2 linked regions of the Pelodiscus sinensis genome follow. The protein of the gene in region 1 binds, or shares a complex with, the protein of each later gene. Links are inferred from orthologs where the notes say so. Each region holds a gene or a part of one and is shown on either strand. Other genes may lie near its edges.

Region 1 (10,068 bases):
TGGAGCCCCCCACGGCTCCCCCCCCGGTGCCCACCCCCGCTTCCTGGAGCCCCCCACAGCTCCCCCCCCGGTGCCCATCCCCGCTTCCCGGAGCCCCCCACGGCTCCCCCCGGTGCCCACCCCCCGCTTCCCGGAGCCCCCCACGGCTCCCCCCCCGGTGCCCACCCCCGCTTCCTGGAGCCCCCCCACGGCTCCCCCCCCGGTGCCCACCCCCGCTTCCTGGAGCCCCCCACGGCTCCCCCCGGTGCCCACCCCCGCTTCCTGGAGCCCCCCCACGGCTCCCCCCCCGGTGCCCACCCCGCGCTTCCCGGAGCCCCCCACGGCTCCCCCCCCGGTGCCCACCCCGCGCTTCCTGGAGCCCCCCCCACGACCCCCCCCCGGTGCCCCACCCCGCGCTTCCTGGAGCCCCCCACGGTTCCCCCCCCGTGCCCACCCCACGCTTCCTGGAGCCCCCCCACGGTTCCTCCCGGTGCCCACCCCGCGCTTCCTGGAGCCCCCCACAGCCCCCCCCGTGTTGACCCCGCGCTTCCTGGAGCCCCCCACAGCCCCCCCATGCTGACCCCGCGCTTCCCGGAGCCCCCCATGGCTCCCCCCGGTGCCCACCCCGCACTTCCTGGAGCCCCCCATGAGTCCCCCCCCGTGCCCATCCCGCGCTTCCCAGAGCCCCCCATAGCTCCCCCCCCGTGCCCATCCCGTGCTTCTTGGAGCCCCCCACGTCCCCCCCCGTGCCTACCCAGCGCTTCGCAGACCCCCCCACGGCTCCCCCCGCGCTTCCCGGAGCCCCCCCACGGTCCTCCCATGCTGACCCCGCACTTCCTAGAGCCCCCCTATGCCCAACCTGCAGTTCCCCGGGCCCCCCATGCCCACCCCATGGTCCTCAGAGCCCCCGCACGGTCCCCCACACTCTCCAGAGCCCCCCACGGCCCCCCATGCCTGCCCCACAGTCCTCTGAGCCCCCCATGTTCCACCCTATGACTGCCCCACAGTTCCCAGAACCCCACCCCATGAGTCCCAGAGCCCTCGACACCCGCCCCACAGTTCCCAGAGCCCCCCCCCCCACGGCCCCCCCACACTCTCCAGAGCCCCCCACGGCCCCCCATGCCTGCCCCGCGGTTCCCAGAGCCCCCCCCCCGGGTGTCCCCAGGGCTCGCCCCACGGTTCCCGGACCCCCCCGCCTCCCAGTTTTCACCCCCACTAGAGCCCCCCAGACAACACCCGACCTCCAGCCCGGCCCCCCGCGCCCCGACCCACCTCTGCACTCGGCCTTGGCCAGCGGGCGCCCGTCCCGAGAGCTCAGCGGGCTCCAGCGGCTGTCGGCGCGGCACAGGCGCACGGGCGTGGGGTACGGGTACTGCCCCGCGGGGCACTGGTACACCAGCGCCCCCCCCTGCCGCTGCAGCTTGCTCGAGCCCCCCACGATCGCCGCCGCCTGGGGGTCGCAGTTCGGGCCCTTGCTGGGGGCCGCGCCTGGGGAGAGTCACAGAGTCGGGCGGCGCCACGACCCCCCGAAAGGCCCCCGGAGCGCAGACATCAGCGGGGGGGGGCCCGAACCCCCCCCCCGGAGCGCAGACATCAGCGGGGGGGCCCCGAAACACCCCCCGGAGCGCAGACATCAGCGGGGGGGCCCGAAACACCCCCCGAGCGCAGACATCAGCGGGGGGGGCCCGAAACACCCCCCGGAGCGCAGACATCAGCGGGGGGGGCCCGAAACACCCCCCGGAGCGCAGACATCAGCGGGGGGGCCCGAAACACCCCCCGAGCGCAGACATCAGCGGGGGGGGGCCCGAAACACCCCCCGGAGCGCAGACATCAGCGGGGGGGCCCGAAACACCCCCCGGAGCGCAGACATCAGCGGGGGGGGCCCCGAAACCCCCCCGGAGCGCAGACATCAGCGGGGGGCCCCGAAACACCCCCCGGAGCGCAGACATCAGCGGGGGGGGCCCGAAACACCCCCCCCCGAGCGCAGACATCAGCGGGGGGCCCCGAAACACCCCCCGGAGCGCAGACATCAGCGGGGGGGGCCCGAAACACCCCCCCCCCGAGCGCAGACATCAGCGGGGGGCCCCGAAACACCCCCCGGAGCGCAGACATCAGCGGGGGGGGCCCGAAACACCCCCCCGAGCGCAGACATCAGCGGGGGGGCCCGAAACACCCCCCGAGCGCAGACATCAGCGGGGGGGGGCCTGAAACACCCCCCGGAGCGCAGACATCAGCGGGGGGGGCCCGAAACACCCCCCGAGCGCAGACATCAGCGGGGGGGGGGCCCGAAACACCCCCCGAGCGCAGACATCAGCGGGGGGGGGCCCGAAACCCCCCCCCGGAGCGCAGACATCAGCGGGGGGGGGCCCGAAACACCCCCCGAGCGCAGACATCAGCGGGGGGGGCCCGAAACACCCCCCGGAGCGCAGACATCAGCGGGGGGGGCCCGAAACACCCCCCGAGCGCAGACATCAGCGGGGGGGGCCCGAAACCCCCCCCGAGCGCAGACATCAGCGGGGGGGGCCCCGAAACACCCCCCGGAGCGCAGACATCAGCGGGGGGGGCCCGAAACCCCCCCCGAGCGCAGACATCAGCGGGGGGGGGCCCCGAAACCCCCCCCGAGCGCAGACATCAGCGGGGGGGCCCGAAACACCCCCCGAGCGCAGACATCAGCGGGGGGGGCCCCGAAACACCCCCCGGAGCGCAGACATCAGCGGGGGGGGGCCCGAAACACCCCCCGGAGCGCAGACATCAGCGGGGGGCCTCGAAACACCCCCCGGAGCGCAGACATCAGCGGGGGGGCCCGAAACACCCCCCGGAGCGCAGACATCAGCGGGGGGCCCCGAAACACCCCCCGGAGCGCAGACATCAGCGGGGGGGGCCCGAAACACCCCCCGGAGCGCAGACATCAGCGGGGGGGCCCCGAAACACCCCCCGAGCGCAGACATCAGCGGGGGGGGGCCCGAAACACCCCCCGAGCGCAGACATCAGCGGGGGGCCCCGAAACACCCCCCGAGCGCAGACATCAGCGGGGGGGGCCCGAAACACCCCCCCCCGAGCGCAGACATCAGCGGGGGGCCCCGAAACACCCCCCGAGCGCAGACATCAGCGGGGGGGGGCCCGAAACACCCCCCGAGCGCAGACATCAGCGGGGGGGGGCCTGAAACACCCCCCGAGCGCAGACATCAGCGGGGGGGGGCCCGAAACACCCCCCGAGCGCAGACATCAGCGGGGGGGGCCCGAAACACCCCCCGAGCGCAGACATCAGCGGGGGGGGGGCCCGAAACACCCCCCGAGCGCAGACATCAGCGGGGGGCCCCGAAACACCCCCCGAGCGCAGACATCAGCGGGGGGGGGCCTGAAACACCCCCCGGAGCGCAGACATCAGCGGGGGGGGGCCCGAAACACCCCCCGGAGCGCAGACATCAGCGGGGGGGGCCCGAAACACCCCCCGAGCGCAGACATCAGCGGGGGGGGCCCGAAACACCCCCCGGAGCGCAGACATCAGCGGGGGGGGCCCGAAACACCCCCCGGAGCGCAGACATCAGCGGGGGGGGCCCGAAACACCCCCCCGGAGCGCAGACATCAGCGGGGGGGGGCCCGAAACACCCCCCGAGCGCAGACATCAGCGGGGGGCCCCGAAACACCCCCCGAGCGCAGACATCAGCGGGGGGGGGCCTGAAACACCCCCCGGAGCGCAGACATCAGCGGGGGGGGGCCCGAAACACCCCCCGGAGCGCAGACATCAGCGGGGGGGCCCGAAACACCCCCCGAGCGCAGACATCAGCGGGGGGGGGCCCGAAACACCCCCCGAGCGCAGACATCAGCGGGGGGGGGGCCCGAAACACCCCCCGGAGCGCAGACATCAGCGGGGGGGGGCCCGAAACACCCCCCGAGCGCAGACATCAGCGGGGGGCCCCGAAACACCCCCCGAGCGCAGACATCAGCGGGGGGGCCCGAAACACCCCCCGGAGCGCAGACATCAGCGGGGGGGGCCCCGAAACACCCCCCGGAGCGCAGACATCAGCGGGGGGGGCCCCGAAATCCCCCCGGAGCGCAGACATCAGCGGGGGGGCCCGAAACACCCCCCGGAGCGCAGACATCAGCGGGGGGGGCCCCGAAACACCCCCCGGAGCGCAGACATCAGCGGGGGGGCCCGAAACACCCCCCGGAGCGCAGACATCAGCGGGGGGGCCCCGAAACCCCCCCCCGGAGCGCAGACATCAGCGGGGGGGGCCCGAAACACCCCCCCGCCCGGCCATCGGGGTGGGCCCCCCGATATACACTCCAGGGCCCCCAATTCTGTAGGACCCCCCCCCAAGGAGGCCCCCCCCCCGTCTGCCCGATGCCGAGGGGGGCTGCGGGGGCCCGAGGAGCCGGGCGAGGTCGGGGCGCGGGGGAGGCGAGTTGGGGGGGGCCGGGGGGGGCTGGGGGGCCGGGACCCACCGAGGCGCAGCGGCGCCAGCAGCAGGCAGGCGAGTAGCGGGGCTGCGGGTCCCATCGCGTCCGTCCGGGGCTGCGCGGAGCCGGGTCTGGCAGGTGGGGGGGGGGCCTGGCTCCCTCCCTTGCGAAACCTGCTCCGCCTGGCCCCGCGTCCGGGAACTGCCGGGGGGGGGGCGGGGCATTCCCGGGCGGGGGCGGGGGGCAGATGCGGGGGCAGGGCCCCTCCCCCGCCCACCAGGGCAGGTGACTTTTGGGAAATGGGCAGAAACCCCCCCTCCCCCCCCCCCGCCCTAAACAAACTTCCTCCTGGCGCCCCCCCCCCCGCCAAACCGCAGGGGGGGGCGCCCGGGGCCTTGCCCAACAGCTGGCAGCTTCTGTCCCGTGACAGGGTGGGGCGCCCGGCTCTCACCACTCAGCCCCACTGCCCCCCCCGGGGAGGGGACCCAGGCTCCCGGCTCTCACCACTCAGCCCCACTGCCCCCCCCGGGGAGGGGACCCAGGCTCCCTGCTCTCACCACTCAGCCCCACTGCCCCCCCCCCGGGGAGGGGACCCAGGCTCCCTGCTCTCACCACTCAGCCCCACTGCCCCCCCCCCGGGGAGGAGACCCAGGCTCCCTGCTCTCACCACTCAGCCCCACTGCCCCCCCCCGGGGAGGAGACCCAGGCTCCCTGCTCTCACCACTCAGCCCCACTGCCCCCCCCCGGGAGGAGACCCAGGCTCCCCGCTCTCACCACTTAGCCCCACTGCCCCCCCCCGGGAGGAGACCCAGGCTCCCCGCTCTCACCACTCAGCCCCACTGCCCCCCCCCGGGGAGGGGACCCAGGCTCCCTGCTCTCACCACTCAGCCCTACTGCCCCCCCCCCGGGGAGGGGACCCAGGCGCCCGGCTCTCACCACTCAGCCCCACTGCCCCCCCCCCCGGGGAGGGGACCCAGGCGCCCGGCTCTCACCACTCAGCCCCACTGCCCCCCCCCGGGGAGGGGACCCAGGCTCCCTGCTCTCACCACTCAGCCCCACTGCCCCCCCCGGGGAGGGGACCCAGGCTCCCCGCTCTCACCACTCAGCCCCACTGCCCCCAGCCCCGGGGAGGGGACCCAGGCTCCCCGCTCTCACCACTCAGCCCCACTGCCCCCAGCCCCGGGGAGGGGACCCAGGCTCCCCGCTCTCACCACTCAGCCCCACTGCCCCCAGCCCCGGGGAGGGGACCCAGGCTCCCTGCTCTCACCACTCAGCCCCACTGCCCCCCCCGGGGAGGGGACCCAGGCTCCCTGCTCTCACCACTCAGCCCCACTGCCCCCCCCGGGGAGGGGACCCAGGCTCCCCGCTCTCACCACTCAGCCCCACTGCCCCCCCCCCGGGGAGGGGACCCAGGTGCCCAGCTCTCACCACTGAGCCCCACTGCCCCCCCCCCGGGGAGGGGACCCAGGTGCCCCAGCTCCCGGCCCAAGGCCCAGCCACGCAGCAGGTGGGCAAAGTCCAAGGCCGGTGTTTGTGCAAAGGGGTCACGGCCCCCCACTGCCCTCCCCCTCCGCACCCTGCCCCCAGCCTGGCAGGGAACCCACCGCCCTGCCGGCCTGCCTGGAGAAGGGAAGGAGATAAGAGGGCACTGCCCAGGGGAAGTTCGCAGCGCTGGGCAGGGCAGGCGGAGAGGGTTACAAACCACACAGAGACCCTGAATTACAAACATTCTGTTATTAGGGGGCAGAGCTGTGGGGTAGAGAATGGGGGAGGGGGTGCACGGAGAGGAAATGAAGATGGGGGGCAGAGATTGAGGGGTGCATGGAGGGAATGGGGCTGCCAGGGCTGTGGGGCAGGGATCAGGGGTGCACAGAGGGGACGAGGCAGCCAGGCTGTGGGGCAGGGATCAGGGTGCCCGGAGGAGAGGGGGCTGTGGGGCAGTGATCACGGGTGCCCAGAGGAGAGGACGCTGTGGGGCAAGGATCAGGGGTGCCAGAGAGGAGGGCGCTGTGGGGCAGGGATCGGGGAGCATGGAAGGGGGGGCTGTGGGGCAGAGATGGGGGAGCATGGACGGGGGGGCTGTGGGGCAGGGATCAGGGGTGCACAGAGGGGACGAGGCAGCCAGGCTGTGGGGCAGGGATCAGGGTGCCCGGAGGAGAGGGGGCTGTGGGGCAGTGATCACGGGTGCCCAGAGGAGAGGACGCTGTGGGGCAAGGATCGGGGGTGCCAGAGAGGAGGGCGCTGTGGGGCAGGGATCAGGGGTGCCCAGAGGAGAGGGGGTTGTGGGGCAGGGATCAGGGTGCCTGGAGGGGGGGCTGTGGGGCAGAGATCGGGGAGCATGGACGGGGGGGCTGTGGGGCAGGGATCAGGGGTGCCCAGAGGAGAGGGGGTTGTGGGGCAGGGATCAGGGTGCCTGGAGGGGGGGCTGTGGGGCAGAGATCGGGAAGCATGGACGGGGGGGCTGTGGGGCAGGGATCAGGGGTGCCCAGAGGAGAGGGGGTTGTGGGGCAGGGATCAGGGTGCCCGGAGAGGAGGGCGCTGTGGGGCAGGGATCGGGGTGCCCAGAGGAGAGGGGGTTGTGGGGCAGGGATCGGGGTGCCTGGAGGGGGCACTGTGGGGCAGGGATCGGGGAGCGTGGAAGGGAGGGTTGTGGGGCAGGGATCAGGGTGCCTGGAGGGGGGGCTGTGGGGCAGGGATCAGGGGTGCCAGAGAGGAGGGCGCTGTGGGCAGGGATCGGGGTGCCTGGAGAGGAGGGTGCTGTGGGGCAGGGATTGGGGTGCCCAGAGGAGAGGGCGTTGTGGGGCAGGGATCAGGGTGCCTGGAGGGGGGGCTGTGGGGCAGGGATCGGGGTGCCCAGAGGAGGGCGCTGTGGGGCAGGCGCACAGAGGGGCGGGGGCGGGGCTCTCACTGCCGTGGGCCCAGAGCGCCGTGGGGCTCACTGCAGCGGGACGAAGGCCACGGCGCCCCCCAGCACCTGGCGCAGCCAATCCTGCACCGCGAAGAGGCTGATGTAGAAGTCGCGGGGGACGTGGTGCTTGGGCAGCGGCTTCCTCTGCACCGTGCCCCCCGGCCCCGGCTGGCACGGGCTGGCGGTGCCCCAGCTCACCACGCCCACCTGGGGGGCAGAGACAGCTGGGACCCCACGCCGGGACGGCCCCGCAGCTCGGCCCCCGCAGCCCCCATCTCGCCCCCTAAAGACCTCCCACAACTCGCCCCCCGCAGCCCCCATCTCATCCCCTAAAGACCCCCACAACTCGCCCCCCGCAGCCCCCATCTCATCCCCTAAAGACCCCCCACAACTCGTCCCCCGCAGCCCCCCAATTCGGCCCCCAACACCCTCTCGCAACTTGTCCCCCCAACTCTCCTGCCGCAGCCCCCGCAGCCCCCATCTCATCCCCTAAAGACCCCCCCCAACTCGCCCCCTGCAGGCCCCCAACTTGGCCCCCCACACCCTCCTGCAACTCGGCTGAACTTGTCCACCACAGCCCCCCATCTCGCCCCCTAAAGCCCCCCTGCAATTCGCTCCCCGCAGCCTCCCAACTCCTCCCCTGCAGCCCCCTGCAACTCGTCCCCCCAACTCCTCCCTGGCAGCCCCCTGCAGCTCCCCCTCCCGCAACTCGTCCCCCCGCAACCCCCCACCACAGAGCGTCCCGACTACCAACCTGGAAGTTTCTCAGTTTCTTCTCCAGGAACAGAGCCCCTCCCGATTCACCTGTGGGGCAAAGCAGAACTCAGACCCCCAGGGGCCAGGCCGGCCCAGCTCTGGGGCAGGTGGGGGGAGGGGGGCCAGGTCACCTTTGCAGGTGGACGCCTCCTCCGAGCCGCCGCTGATCTGCCCCGAGCAGAGGAACCGGTCGGTCACCACGTGCGAGACGCTGGAGACGTTGGCGTAGATCATGCCCGGCTGGATGGCTCCGGCGATGCACGAGGGGCGCTGGGGGCGAGAGCCGGGGGTGGGCGGGGGCCGGAACGGGGCGTCCCCCTGCACGGCCACTGGGCTCCCCGGCGGGGGTCAGAGCCCGGGCGGGGGGATAAAAGCCGGTCGCGGGTCCCAGCAGGGACTGGGCCGGGGAGGGAAATCCAACGCCAGGCGCACGGTGCCGCCCCGGGCCCCCGGCCGCTTCCCTGAGCTCGGCCCCCACGAGCGCCCGCAGGCAACAGTGGCAGCAGGCGTGTCGGGGAGCGTGCGAGGGAGACCCTGGGCCGGGCAGCGTGCGAGGGCGACCCTGGGCCGGGCAGCGTGCGAGGGAGACCCTGGGCCGGGCAGCGTGCGAGGGAGACCCTGGGCCGGGCAGTGTGCGAGGGAGACCCTGGGCCGGGGAGCGTGCGAGGGAGACCCTGGGCTGGGCAGCGTGCGAGGGAGACCCTGGGCTGGGCAGCGTGCGAGGGAGACCCTGGGCCGGGGAGCGTGCGAGGGCGACCCTGGGCCGGGGAGCGTGCGAGGGCGACCCTGGGCCGGGCAGCGTGCGAGGGCGACCCTGGGCCGGGCAGCGTGCGAGGGAGACCCTGGGCCGGGGAGCGTGCGAGGGAGACCCTGGGCCAGGAAGCGTGCGAGGGAGATCATGAGCCAGGGAGCGTGCGAGGGAGACCCTGGGCCAGGAAGCGTGCGAGGGAGATCATGAGCCAGGGAGCGTGCGAGGGAGACCCTGGGCCAGGAAGCGTGCGAGGGAGATCATGAGCCAGGGAGCGTGCGAGGGAGACCCTGGACCAGGAAGCGTGCGAGGGAGATCATGAGCCAGGGAGCGTGCGAGGGAGACTCTGAGCCAGGAGCGTGCGAGGGAGACCCTGGACCAGGAAGCGTGCGAGGGAGATCATGAGCCAGGGAGCGTGCGAGGGAGACCCTGGGCCAGGAAGCGTGCGAGGGAGACCCTGGGCCAGGAAGCGTGCGAGGGAGATCATGAGCCAGGGAGCGTGCGAGGGAGACCCTGGACCAGGAAGCGTGCGAGGGAGATCATGAGCCAGGGAGCGTGCGAGGGAGACTCTGAGCCAGGAGCGTGCGAGGGAGACAAGCATGCGGCCCACGTGCACCCCCCGGGGCACGGCCGCCACCTACCAGCTGCTTGGCCTTGATGCGGACGCTGAGGCTGTCCCCGCCCAGGGAGATGAAGTGGGCAGGGACCTGTTCCCGGCCCAGCAGCTCCCGCTCTGCAGGGCAGAGACCCGTCAGCGGGGGGCTCCGGGGGGCCGGGTGACACGAGGGGCGGCGGCTGTCAGAGGTGAGGGGGCACACGCCCCCCCCTCGTGGCCCTGAGCCGTGCCAGGAGGCGGGGGGTCGGGCGTGTGGGACGTGCCGGCCCCTGGCTGGCGGCCCCCTGCCCTGGGAGCCGGGTCTGGGGGCTCTGGGGCCCAGCCCCTCCCCCTGAATCTCTGGTGTGCCCCGGCGCCCCACACACCGTGTTCCCGGCACGTCTTTCTCCTCTTCTCCTTCAGCGCTTGGCTGGCCCCCACGGTGCAGGGCAGGCAGATGGGCCTGGGGGCAGAGAGGGGGTTGACGGAGCCGCAGCCACCGGCTGAGTAGCAGGGGGTCCCCTCCTCCCCTTCCCTCTGGGCGCCCTGACCCCCGGCACCCATCGCAGCTTGGGCAGGCGCCTCCAGCCCGGCCCCTGCCCCACGGCAGCACCAAGCACCAGCCGGGCCCGGCCAGCGTCTGTCCCACCGGCTCCTCCCTAGCCCAGTGCCGGGGACCCC
Region 2 (10,474 bases), on another chromosome or scaffold:
GGCGTTCGGCTCCTGCGCGAGAGGCTCGTGCACAAAGCTCCCGGGTTCGGTTCCGCCTGTCGGCGTCCCAGGAGACCAGCCCTGAGGCCTGCTCAGTGCCTGGCGTTCCCACCGCTGGTGAATACAAGGGGCCCTATTGCAGCTGGGGCGTCACCCCCTCCCTTGCAGTGGTGCACAGGGGTGTCCCCAGCCCGCGATGCCTGTGGGCAGAGCAGGGGGCAGCGGGGTCCCTGGGGCTCAGCCCTGGAAGTCAACAGGAGCTCGGTGCCGTTGGGAGCTGGACCTAGCCCCAGGCCCGCAGGAGTTTCCCCCTTGGGCTCCGGATGGAGCTATGCCCTGGCCGGGGCCACCGCGCCTGCAGGGGGGCTGGGGCCGGTGTGGCTCGTGCTCACCTGGAGGAGCAGGAGGTCGTCGTCGTTGGTCTCCTTGCTGCTGCCGGGGTGGCTGATCTCGGCCCGCACCCCGTAGAGGCGCTTGTGCGGCTCCGGCTCCGAGAGGGAGTGGGCCCCCAAGAGGACCTGGAACGGCTTGTTGGGCCTGCGGCGGGGACGGAGACGGCCGAATGAGGCGCTCTGCTCGCCCCCCGCCTGTCCGCTCATGCCCCCGAGGTGCCGCGATCCCCCGCGGGCCCCCAGCCTCTGCCTTGCCCCGGTCCCCACCTGGGCTGCCCTGCCCCTGGGGTGACGGGCAATCCACCCTCAGCTTTTCCTTTAGAGCCGGGGGCGGAGGGGGGGGGGCCTTTGGCCCAGGAGCCAGATTCAGCGCCTGGCTTGCCTGGATCTGGCCCCCGAGGCTCCCAGCTTTGGGAGCCCTTAGTACCCCCTGTGGAGCTGGAGCGCCAGCTTTGGCTCCCTGCTGCAGTGAGGCAGGGGACCCGAGCCTCAGACTGGAGTCTGGCGAGCCAGAGCCAGATCCCACCCACGGGCTCTGCCCGGTGGGGGGGGGGAGCAACCCCCTCCCCTTCCTCCTGCCCCTGCCTGGGGAAATGGCAGCGCGGCCCGAGGCTTTTCCGACTGGCCTGTGTCCTCCCACCCTCTCGGACCCCAGGCCCAAGCTGGCTTCCCAGCAGCCTCCTCCCACCCCCCGCCCCCGCCTCATGGGGACACTCAACCTGCCCCAGGGCAGGAAGCAGCCGTGGCCACGCTCAGTCCAGAGCCCGGAAATGCTCCAGGGCTGTGTCGGACCTAGCTGGGCCCCAGCCCCTGCTCTGCCCCACGGGGCCCCGGCCAGGACTCACTTGTCCTCCAGGCAGTGAGCCGCGCTCAGCACCCACTGGTCGGCGATGAGGAACCCGCCGCACACGTGCTTCCCGTCCACCTGCAGCGACGCCATGTAGGGCTTCCGGTGCGGGGCAGCCTCGTAGCCCCGGAGAATGCGGCCCCGGGGGCGACCCGCTGGGGAGAGGAGAAAAGGGACATGAGCCTCTGAGCCTGCCCTGCCGTCCTGGCCGTGGGAGGGCCCCCTTGGTGCCCACAGAGTCTGGGGACACATCCAGAGCGGGGCGGCTCAGCGAGGGGCCCTTGGCCCCGTGTGCCTGCGTCTCTACGTGCCTCCGCTGCCGGGGAGGAGAAACTGCCCCAGCCTGGCTCACCGCAGAGCGGCCAGCTGCCCAGGGCACTCCGCCGGGCTGGGAGAGACCCACCTCGGCCGGATTCAGGACCCCACCCTGGTCTCCCATGTCCCAGCGACCGTCTCCCCCAGACTGGCTGACCCACTGATGCGGGGTGAGATGCAGGGACTTGACCAAGGTCACAAGGGAAGGCGGTGGCGAGACAGGGACGCCCAAGTCCTCGCTCGCCCCCCAAGCACTGCGCCGACCTTTCCCTCCTTCTGTAGCTCTGAGCAGAAGGGAAGCGGAGTCCAGAGCCGGTTTGATATTGGCAGCGCGGCTCTGGCGTTCCCAGCCGCTAGGCCCGGCCTGGCTGCCATCGGAGCACTCAGTGTGGGAGGGTCACGCCTCTGTCCCTCGCTTCCTCCAGAGGAGCAATTCTTGGGCCATTGAGAATCCAGCCCAGGCTTCCTCCAGCCTTCTGCCCCCTTCCCATGCCTTGCCCCCCCCCCCCCGTCACCCCCACCCAGGGGGCAGGGCAGCAGGCCTTGTGCGGCCGCACGTCCCCAGGCCAGCAGCCGCGGAGCAGAACTTTAGCTGTCCAGCGAGGAGCTTCCTACAGGAGCCAACACATGCAGCTGGCACTGGGGCCCTGGAGGGCCGGGCTATGGGGCATCGCAGCCCTCCATCAGCACTGCTGTTATGGTCCTGCCGCCCCCAGAATCAGCCAAGACAGCAACCCCTCCACCCCCCCTTACAAGGGCATGATTGCAAGGGAGGGGTGCAAGGGGGAACCGTGGGGCAGCATCTGTCTCTGCCCCCCTCCACCTGGCATTTTCAAACCAAGGAGTGGAGCCATTCACCCCGCTTATGCAAATAATGAGGGGCAGTCACAAATCATTTCTCTTGGCCCCCCGGAGCAGCTGTCCGGTAGCCGACGTGGAGCTCTGGTTGGACTAGCGTGTGTTTGTTTCCTGGAGCATCGGAGGGGACAAACCCCTGTGCCCCCTTCAGGAACGTGAAGAAGAAACGAGAAAGGAAGCCCCGGGTACGAAATGCGAGACGTTTCCAGGTGTGCGGGGTGAAGACTTCTCCGAAGGTTCTGCGGCAATGGATCGCCGACGTGCCCGGGAGAACAGCAGGAGGCCTTAGCCCATAGTCAGGAATCCGCCCTGGGACAGATCTACAGCTGATTCGGATACGTGACCCCTAGGAAAAGCTGGGTAATGCCCCCAGCTCCCTCCAACCCATCTTAGCCTCATTGGGGTAGATCTCACCCAGCAACAGTGACCAGGGTGTCTGCATCAAAGGAGAGGCTGTAGTGCCTGCTGGGACTCAGGAGACCTGAATTCTGCCACCAATCTGCTGGGTGACCTTGGGCAAGTCACGTCCCCGCTCCATGCCTCAGTTTCCCCATTTGTAAAATGGTGATCCTGCCTCTTTCCGTTGGAAAGCATTTTGAGATCCACCGATAAAACGCGCGAGGGGTTAGGACCAGCATCCGCCCACACATGCCCCAGGATGCTCTTTGGCTTCTAGGGAGTCAAGTTGCATTTCAGAAAACACACCCACAGTGGGGAAAGCTAGTGGGTTCCAGACCCGGATGTTTCTGTTATCGGTGCCAGCCCCCATCGCTCTGCAAATGGACAGCACATTTAACCCGCCTGTCCACACACCAGCCCTCTGGCGGCTTTGCCGCAGCAAAACATTTCTCCCTCCGTTCACCCGCATTGTCTCAAGCTGCCTCCCCTCCCCACCTGGCGGAGGGTCTCTGGTCTGTGCTAAGTCCAGAGATCCCTTCCGGCCTGGAAAAGGAGCCCTGCCACTGGGAGATGTGTCCTGAGACGCCGCCTTAGCCCATGGCTTTGGGAGCCAGAGACTGAAGAAGCTGCGTTGCCGGTAAGTTTGGGGCATCAGGCGTCTGTGACATTGATTCACAGTGTGAGCTAGATCCAAGCTTTCTGCAGCCCCAGGCCTCAGTTTCCCTGTCATGTGGGCGTGCTGGGAGAGTGCTCAGAGATCCCCAGCCGGCAGGGGCTAGGCTAGAGAGCAGTGAAATGTACTAGATCCCCCAGGGCCGTCAGCTGATGCGATAAAGTTCAATTGTCACCCTTCAATGTGGCAAGGAAACATCTGGACACCCAGCAGCTTTGCTTATTGTGTCAGTTCGCAGCCAGGCTGCCCTGCGGCATCCACCTCGCAAGGACCCACCCGCATCTCTGCTAGGCTCGGAGGAGTCAAGGAAGAGAACAGAAGAGAGGGAGGGTGTGAGAGAAGAGGCGCACTCACCACAGGCCGAGATGCCCAGCAAAGCCACCAGGGCGAGGACAGGTGACAGGTGACCCATGCCAGCTGCTGAGACGCCCACAGATGAGTCTACCACAGGAGCTGTGTCTTGTCCTGTAGAGGTGTCCCTGCTTGGGGAGAGCAGAGATCTGCCTTTTGTACTGCGCTCCGGGGGTGGGGGGAGAAGGGGGAACGTTGATTTCCAGGAAAGAGAAAGCTGGGAGTAAATTTGCAACAGCTGCTGGGGGCTTGGTTGTTGCAGTGCCAGGGCCTGAGGGAAATTTCATGATTTCTCAACACAGGCAGCCCTGGGACAAAGCAGCCCAACCCTACTGCTGAACCTGGCCTGCCTGGAAGGGGATTTCTGCAGCTTGTGTTTGTCCTTCCAACTGCCGGGGCAGGCAGAGTTCATTCCCCAGCCCATCCGATCGGCTCTGAAGAGCAAACAATCCAGAAATCCCCTTCCCTGCCCGCCTCTGTCTCTGCCGAACTGCGGGGACCTTTGTGTGAACTTCCTGCTCCGCAAAGCTTCCGCCAGGATAGGATAACAGGCGATGGGGCACCTGTGCTGGAGGGAGCCAGGACCTGGGTCTCCAGAGTGGCAGGTTTTTTGCCCCTGCTGAATTCCGGGCTGGCTGATTGCCCAGCTCTGGGAACCGCGGACGTGGGAGCCGAAGGTGCCTGTGGCTAGTAGGATAAGAGCAGTGGCCAAGGGACTCTGACAATCACCTGGAAAGGAGCTGGCCAGAAAGCAAGGCTGGGGCAGGGTGAAAGGGAGAAAGTAGCAGTGGGAGAGCGTGAGAGACGGGCAAGGCAGGGAGGCCCCTGTTCTAGGGAGTTAAATATCAGTTAATTGATTAGTCGATTGACCTCATGAATTCTTATCAGTTACTCAACTAGTCTATAGCCCCCAGGCGGGGCCGGCAGCAGTGCGGGGTGATGGCAGCCCCTGTCCAGGGGGGCTGATCTCCTAGACCCGGCGAGAGCTGCAACAGAGCCGGGCTGCCTACCCGCCTTGCTCCTTAATACCCTTTAAACACAGAGCCGCAGCAGGGCTCTGTCCCAGACCCGGCATGAGCCAGGACTGAGCCGGGCTGCTGGCCAGCCAGCTAAAAAATTGGTTAAGTGACTCCCCGTCTCACTGGAGATGAGCCGCATCCCCTGTGACTTCCCTGGCACTGATGAGGAGCTCCCCGCGCCATAGCCATTTGGTTTCTATTTTTCTGCGGCAGAGATTTCTAGCTACGAACGCTCAGGCCCCAAAGCCCTAAGAAGCTGGCTAGTCTTCCAAGTGCCACTGGACTCCGTGTTTTTGCTGCAACAGACTCACATGGCCACCTCTGAAACCTGGCAAAGAAATGGGGCTGGAGGGGGTTGAACCTGGTTGGGTCTTATTCTCCTGCGGTTCTCACCTGTACCACAAGGTGGGGCTGGTGCCTCAGTTTCCATGCCAAGCCTGGGTCCCCAAAAGTGGGTTTGAACAATGCTTCAGACAGGCACAGTCACTCAGCAGTCGGGGAGAAATCTGGCTCCTCTATTCTGACGGGAGGGTGGCTGGAGCCTCAGAGTTCTGAAATCGCTGGGGCTGCCCCGTAAAGTCCTGTCGCTTAAAGGGCCAAACAGCCCCGGATTTCAGATTTGGCCCAGATGAGCCTGGAGGGAGAGAAACCACCGGCCTGCACCTATTTCAGTGACAAGAAAAGGGAGTCAAACCCAATTCACACAAGCAATGGTTTGTGAAGTACTTGTGAGACAGATACTGAAGCTGGGCTGGCTTCTGCCTCCGCATGGCCACAGCTAAAGCAAACTGGTGCAACCTGCTTGGCACGGGGATGGAAGGTGCTGCCGATATCACACATCCACGGCGCCTCTCGTGAGGATTTCAAAGTGCTTTGCAGAAGAGGGTGAGTGTTATTCTTATTGCCTTTTTTACAGAGGGGTAAACTGAGGCAGGGAGTGGGGAATGAAGTACCTCGCCCAGCCTCACAGCAGGGGACAGGAAGAGAACTTAGGAGCAGGCCAGAACCCTATCTTCCCACTGTGCTGCTTCCTATGAAAAGTTTGGCAAAGTTTTCTATGCTGCCCGACACCTCGGTGGCTAGGTTAGAAGTTAGAACAACAAATAGAGTATCAGGTGTGGCCCTGCCCTCAGCGCTAATTAGCCAACCCCCCCTCTAGCCAGAGGCTTAGACATCTGAGTAAATAAGAAATCCGAGATTTAATAGCGAGTTTAGTTCCGCGGCTCCTGAATTGTGAATTTAGGTCAAGGACTGAGGCTGGTCTTCATGGGAGACAAACCTGAGCCTGCTGCTCACACCAGACCATCACCCTTTGTAGATTTCGGGAGGGAAATTCCATGCAAGTTTTTGACACGGGTTTGTCAGGGAGCCGAGTTAGTCTGTAACTGGAAAAATGTAACAAACAACCAATGGTCTGGTAGCACGTTATAGACGAACAAAACATGGAGCTGGGAGCATGAGCTTTCGTGGGCACAGCCCACTTCTTCGGATGACTGGAATATTGAAAGTCCAGATCCAGGAATAAATAAGGGAAGGGGGGAGAGGAGGAAGAAAAAAGACAGTTAAGCTACAAGAGGCGATGAGGACAATTAGCACCTCCATTGCATGGTGGGTGGTTTGGTGAAGTCATTAGGGTGTGGAAGGTCTGTGCTGGCCTTGTCCCTGATCATTCCAATCTGATAAGAGTCAAATTTGTAAACAAAGTTAAGTTCCAACCCTCCCCTGTGGATTTGGCTTGTGGAATTGGCTTGCAAGAACAGGGTGACTTGGGGATCCGTTAACGAGTGTCCAGGCGGATTAAAGTGTTCTCCAACAGGTCCCTGCGTGTGGCCACATTTGCTGCTCCCCCCCCCCCCCCCCCGCCGTGTGTGCCTACTGGTCCCGTGGGAAAGGGAGGGGGTGTACAGAGCTCCGGGACACTGGCAAAAGCCTCTGCCCTGCTCTGGTGTGGATCTGTGGGAGAGGGGTTCGGAGGAGGCTGGGGCGGGGGCGGCCTGGCCTTTGCTCATTGGTGGGTGTGCAGCTCGGGAGAAAATCCACTCAAGTGGATTGCGGTGGGAGTCCTGGCTCCCGCCTGCTCTGTGCACTGACGTCCCTATAAAAGAGTAGAAAGGTTCGGGGCCAGAGCCTGGTGGGGCACAGTATCTGTGGAGCCATGGGATCTGGCTTCCTGGGGATTGCCCCTCCCCAGCACAGACCTTCTGGGGGCCTAGCCCCCTGCACCTCCATGATTCTCTTTGTCGCTCCCCCCCAGCATAGGGGGAGTTCCCAGGAGAAAGGGGGCCAATCCCCACGCTGCCAGAATAGGCCAGGAATGTAAGCTCTGGGCTCCCCCTGATGGGGTGGGGAACCTCAGGCCCAGGGGCCCAATGGCAGCCCCTGGCATGCTGGATCTGGCCCCCGAGGCTCATGGAGCCCCCCTCAGCATTGGGGAGCCTGTGCTGATGCTCCAGTCCCCCCATTGAGGGGCCAAACTCGACTAGCCCCCCCCTGCTCTGGTGTGGGGGGGGAACACGGGGAGGGTTTTTCTCCTTCTCAGCCACATCCGTGAGGGGTTGGGTTTGTTTTTTGCTTCTCATACGTGTGCAGCCCCCGACCCACAAATGGCTCCCCCCACCCATGCTGGCAGTAGCCAGGCAGGCCCCAGAACCAGGGAGCTCAAAGCTGGCTTAGCGCCTCCTTCACCCACCCTGCTGGGCTGACAAGAGACCGGGGCTGGGCTCGGATTAGCGTGGAGGAGCTGGGCCTGACTGTTCACTGTCCTAGCCTGGGGCTCCCCCCACAAATGCCCCTCCACATCCCCATCCCCATCCCCACCCCGCTGCCTGGTCCTGGGAATTCCCCTCGGCTCTGAGTCAGAGCAGTTTATGTAAAGGACAAACCCGCCCCCCCATCAACAAAGCTGAGGGGGGAGTGTCGGTTTGTTCCTCCCAGGGGTGGAGGTGATGGCTGCCTTGCCTGGCGGAGAGGGGGGGGGGGAAGGAGGGAGGCTTACGCTGTGGGTGGAGGCTGTGAGGCCAAGGCTGGATCAAGGGAAAGCTCTTAACGATAATTAATCCCGGCTCCTCTCAGCTGTAGATCTCAATGCACTTTACAAGGAGGCTAATATCATTAGCCCCGTGTTCCAGGTGGGGAAACTGAGGCATGGGGCAGAGCAGTGACTTGCCTGGGGGCTGCAAACAGGAATTTACTTGGCAGCTTAATTCCACAAACGGGAGACCTAACGCAAGGGGTGGGCAACCTGTGTCCCGCGAGCCACGGGGGCTACGCCCTTCCCTACAAGACTAGCTCTCATTGGCATAGTTGTGTGTCTGTACAGCCCCTTGCACAATGGCTCTGAGCCGCAACTGGGACTCACCAGTGCTGGAGGAGTCGGGCCTCCTCTCCCCCAGCCCCCAGGCCGTGTAACAAACCCAGTTCTAGTTTGAAAGCCCACGGAAGCCAAACAGAGCCAGCTCAGCCTCCACGCCACGGTAACCTGCCCCCACCAGCCCGTAGCCGGTCACCGAGCGCGGCACATCCCGCTCTTGGCCAGCTACCGGAACAACCGGCGTTTCCAAATCGCACCATACTCAGAGCGGGCGAGAAGGTAGCTCACTTGAAGTTGCAGTGGGGGAGGTCTCGGTTGGGGATCAGGAAAAACCATTGCCCTGGGCGGGTTCCCTGGGGAGTCTCCGTCCCTTGAAGTGTGTCAGTCCCAGCTTGACACAGCCCCGGCTGGGGTGATCGAGGTGGGGCTGGTCCTGCTTTGGGCAGGGGCCGGACGTGATGGCTTCTGAGGGCTCAGCCCACCCCAGGGTTCTAGGATTCTAGGTAGCAGGTGCTGTACCTGTAGGCAAGCCCTCAGTCTTTGCCTAGGGGTGTCTGGAGCCTTAGGATGCGTCTCTAGTTCTCCCTGCCCCTCCACCCACCCTGCCTTGGCCCCGATACCGGCTCCATGTCCTTCCCCCTCTAGGTTCTGCTCCTGAGCGCCACAGGCAAGCAAATCATCTCCTGTTGGCGCAGGGGTGCCCGGCGCAGGGTTTGGGATCATTCTTCCTCTCACCATTGCACCGGGGGTCAGTCCTCAGCTGATGCTGAACGAAACCAGAGACGAGCCTCTAGCTTCCGGCCCCATGGACCTGCTGCTCTGGCTTCTCGCTGGCTTTGCCCCATCCGGCGCGTGTACTCCCCTTCCACTCACAGGGCTGAGCATGTGCGAGAAGGGCGGGGGAGGGGGGGCGTACAGGACAAGGAAAGGGTGATGCGAGATACCAGCATCCTGGGAAGAGCTCTAGTGGCCCCATGGAGTTACACCCGGGATTATCTTGCCTGTGTGTGCCCAGACGCACTCCGGCTGCGTGCGAGCCATGTGGGCGTGGCTGTGCAGGGTATACGGATGTGCGGGCTTTGGGCATGATGCAACCATGTGCAGGAAGTTGCAGGATTATGGGCAGGGGAGGCAAAGAAACTGCCCACGGAGTGCAGGGGCGGGTACCTTTGTGGGGATCTTAGGGGGCCAGCACAGAACCCTAGAACTGGAAGGGACCTCGGGAGTCATCAAGCCCCCTCCCCTGCCCTCACGGCAGGACCCAGCACCGTCTAGATCTTCCCCAAGAGGCGTCTGTCCAACCTGCGCTTAAATATCTCCAGAGATAGAGATTCCACAACCTCCCTGGGCAATTTATTCCTGTGTTTCGCCACCCGACCGGTGGGAAGTTTTTCCTAATGTCCAACCTCAACCCCCCTGGCTGCAGTTTAAGCCCCTTGCTTCTCGTCCTGTCCTCAGAGGCCAAGGGGAACAATTTCCCCGTCCTCCTTATGACACCCTTTTAGACACTTGAAAACTGCTCTCGTGTCCCCCCTCAGTCTTCTCTTTTCTAAACTAAACAAGCCCAGTTCCTCCAGCCTTGCCGCAGCTCATGTGCTCTAGACCTTGCATCATTCTCGTTGCTCTTCTCTGGACCCTCTCCAATTTCTCCACATCTTGAAATGTGGTGCCCAGACCTGGACACAAGACTCCAGCTGAGGCCTAACCAGCGCAGAGCATCGCGGAAGAATGACGCCTCGTGTCTGGCTCACAGCTCTGCTGTTCGTGCAGCCCAGAATCATGTTGGTTGTTTTTGTGACGCGTCCCACTGTTGACTCGTAATGAGCTTGTGGTCCACTCTGACCCCTCCATCCCTTCCTGCAGGACTCCTCCCGAGACAGTCGCTTCCCGTTCTGTGAGTGACAGGCCAGCCCCTGTGGGCTGGAAGGCTGAGCTCGGAGCAGGGTTCGGCTCCGGCACACACATCCCCATGGGCAGGCACCCCAGCAGTCCCTAGAACCTGGGCTTCTGCAGCTGAGTCCTGGCAAGGGGAAGTCACAATATGGGGCCTGCGATTTACCAGAGAAAAGTCAGGGCCAGGCCTCCCACCCCTGCACCCCTGAGCTCTGAGCTCATCTGGATCCAGCCCCTGCCCCGTCCTCGAAGGCCAGCCCTCAGGCTGGTCCCCTGGAGCCGTGGTAAGGAAGAGGGGCTGGACTGGAGCAGCATCAGCCTCCGGGCCTGGCTGCCCCACAGCATCTGCCAGGGAACAGGCCCTAGGAAAGCTGCAGCTTTGCCCGCCCAGCGTGGGAGCCAGGATTCGAGCAGGCT

What was found. The genes of interacting proteins can lie anywhere in the genome.
Region 2: the proteins of complement factor B-like (region 1) and complement factor D-like are in contact, whole or in part, in a crystal structure (PDB 2XWB), measured with the Homo sapiens proteins. The link is inferred for Pelodiscus sinensis from reciprocal best matches to the Homo sapiens genes CFB and CFD. Residues at the interface, in NP_001701.2 of Homo sapiens: Glu298, Ala301, Ser302, Ala332, Asp333, Ile469, Asp470, Glu471, Ser472, Glu518, Tyr519, Lys585, Asp758, Glu759, Asp760; in NP_001919.2 of Homo sapiens: Asn157, His158, Ala159, Gly160, Arg161, Arg162, Arg182, Thr183, Asp186, Arg200, Val228, Cys229, Gly230, Asn231, Arg232, Lys233.

Annotation. Positions count from the first base shown.
Region 1 is NW_027466016.1:47,951-58,018, forward strand, and holds the start of complement factor B-like, read right to left. Parts: upstream 4,587-10,068; 5' UTR 4,481-4,586; coding exon 4,426-4,480; intron 1,468-4,425; coding exon 1,252-1,467; intron 1-1,251. Other genes in the region: complement C2-like, read right to left, coding at 7,316-7,495, 8,043-8,092, 8,176-8,314, 9,434-9,525, 9,774-9,850.
Region 2 is NC_134729.1:16,201,877-16,212,350, reverse strand, and holds the start of complement factor D-like, read right to left. Parts: upstream 3,999-10,474; 5' UTR 3,897-3,998; coding exon 3,839-3,896; intron 1,395-3,838; coding exon 1,238-1,394; intron 538-1,237; coding exon 393-537; intron 1-392.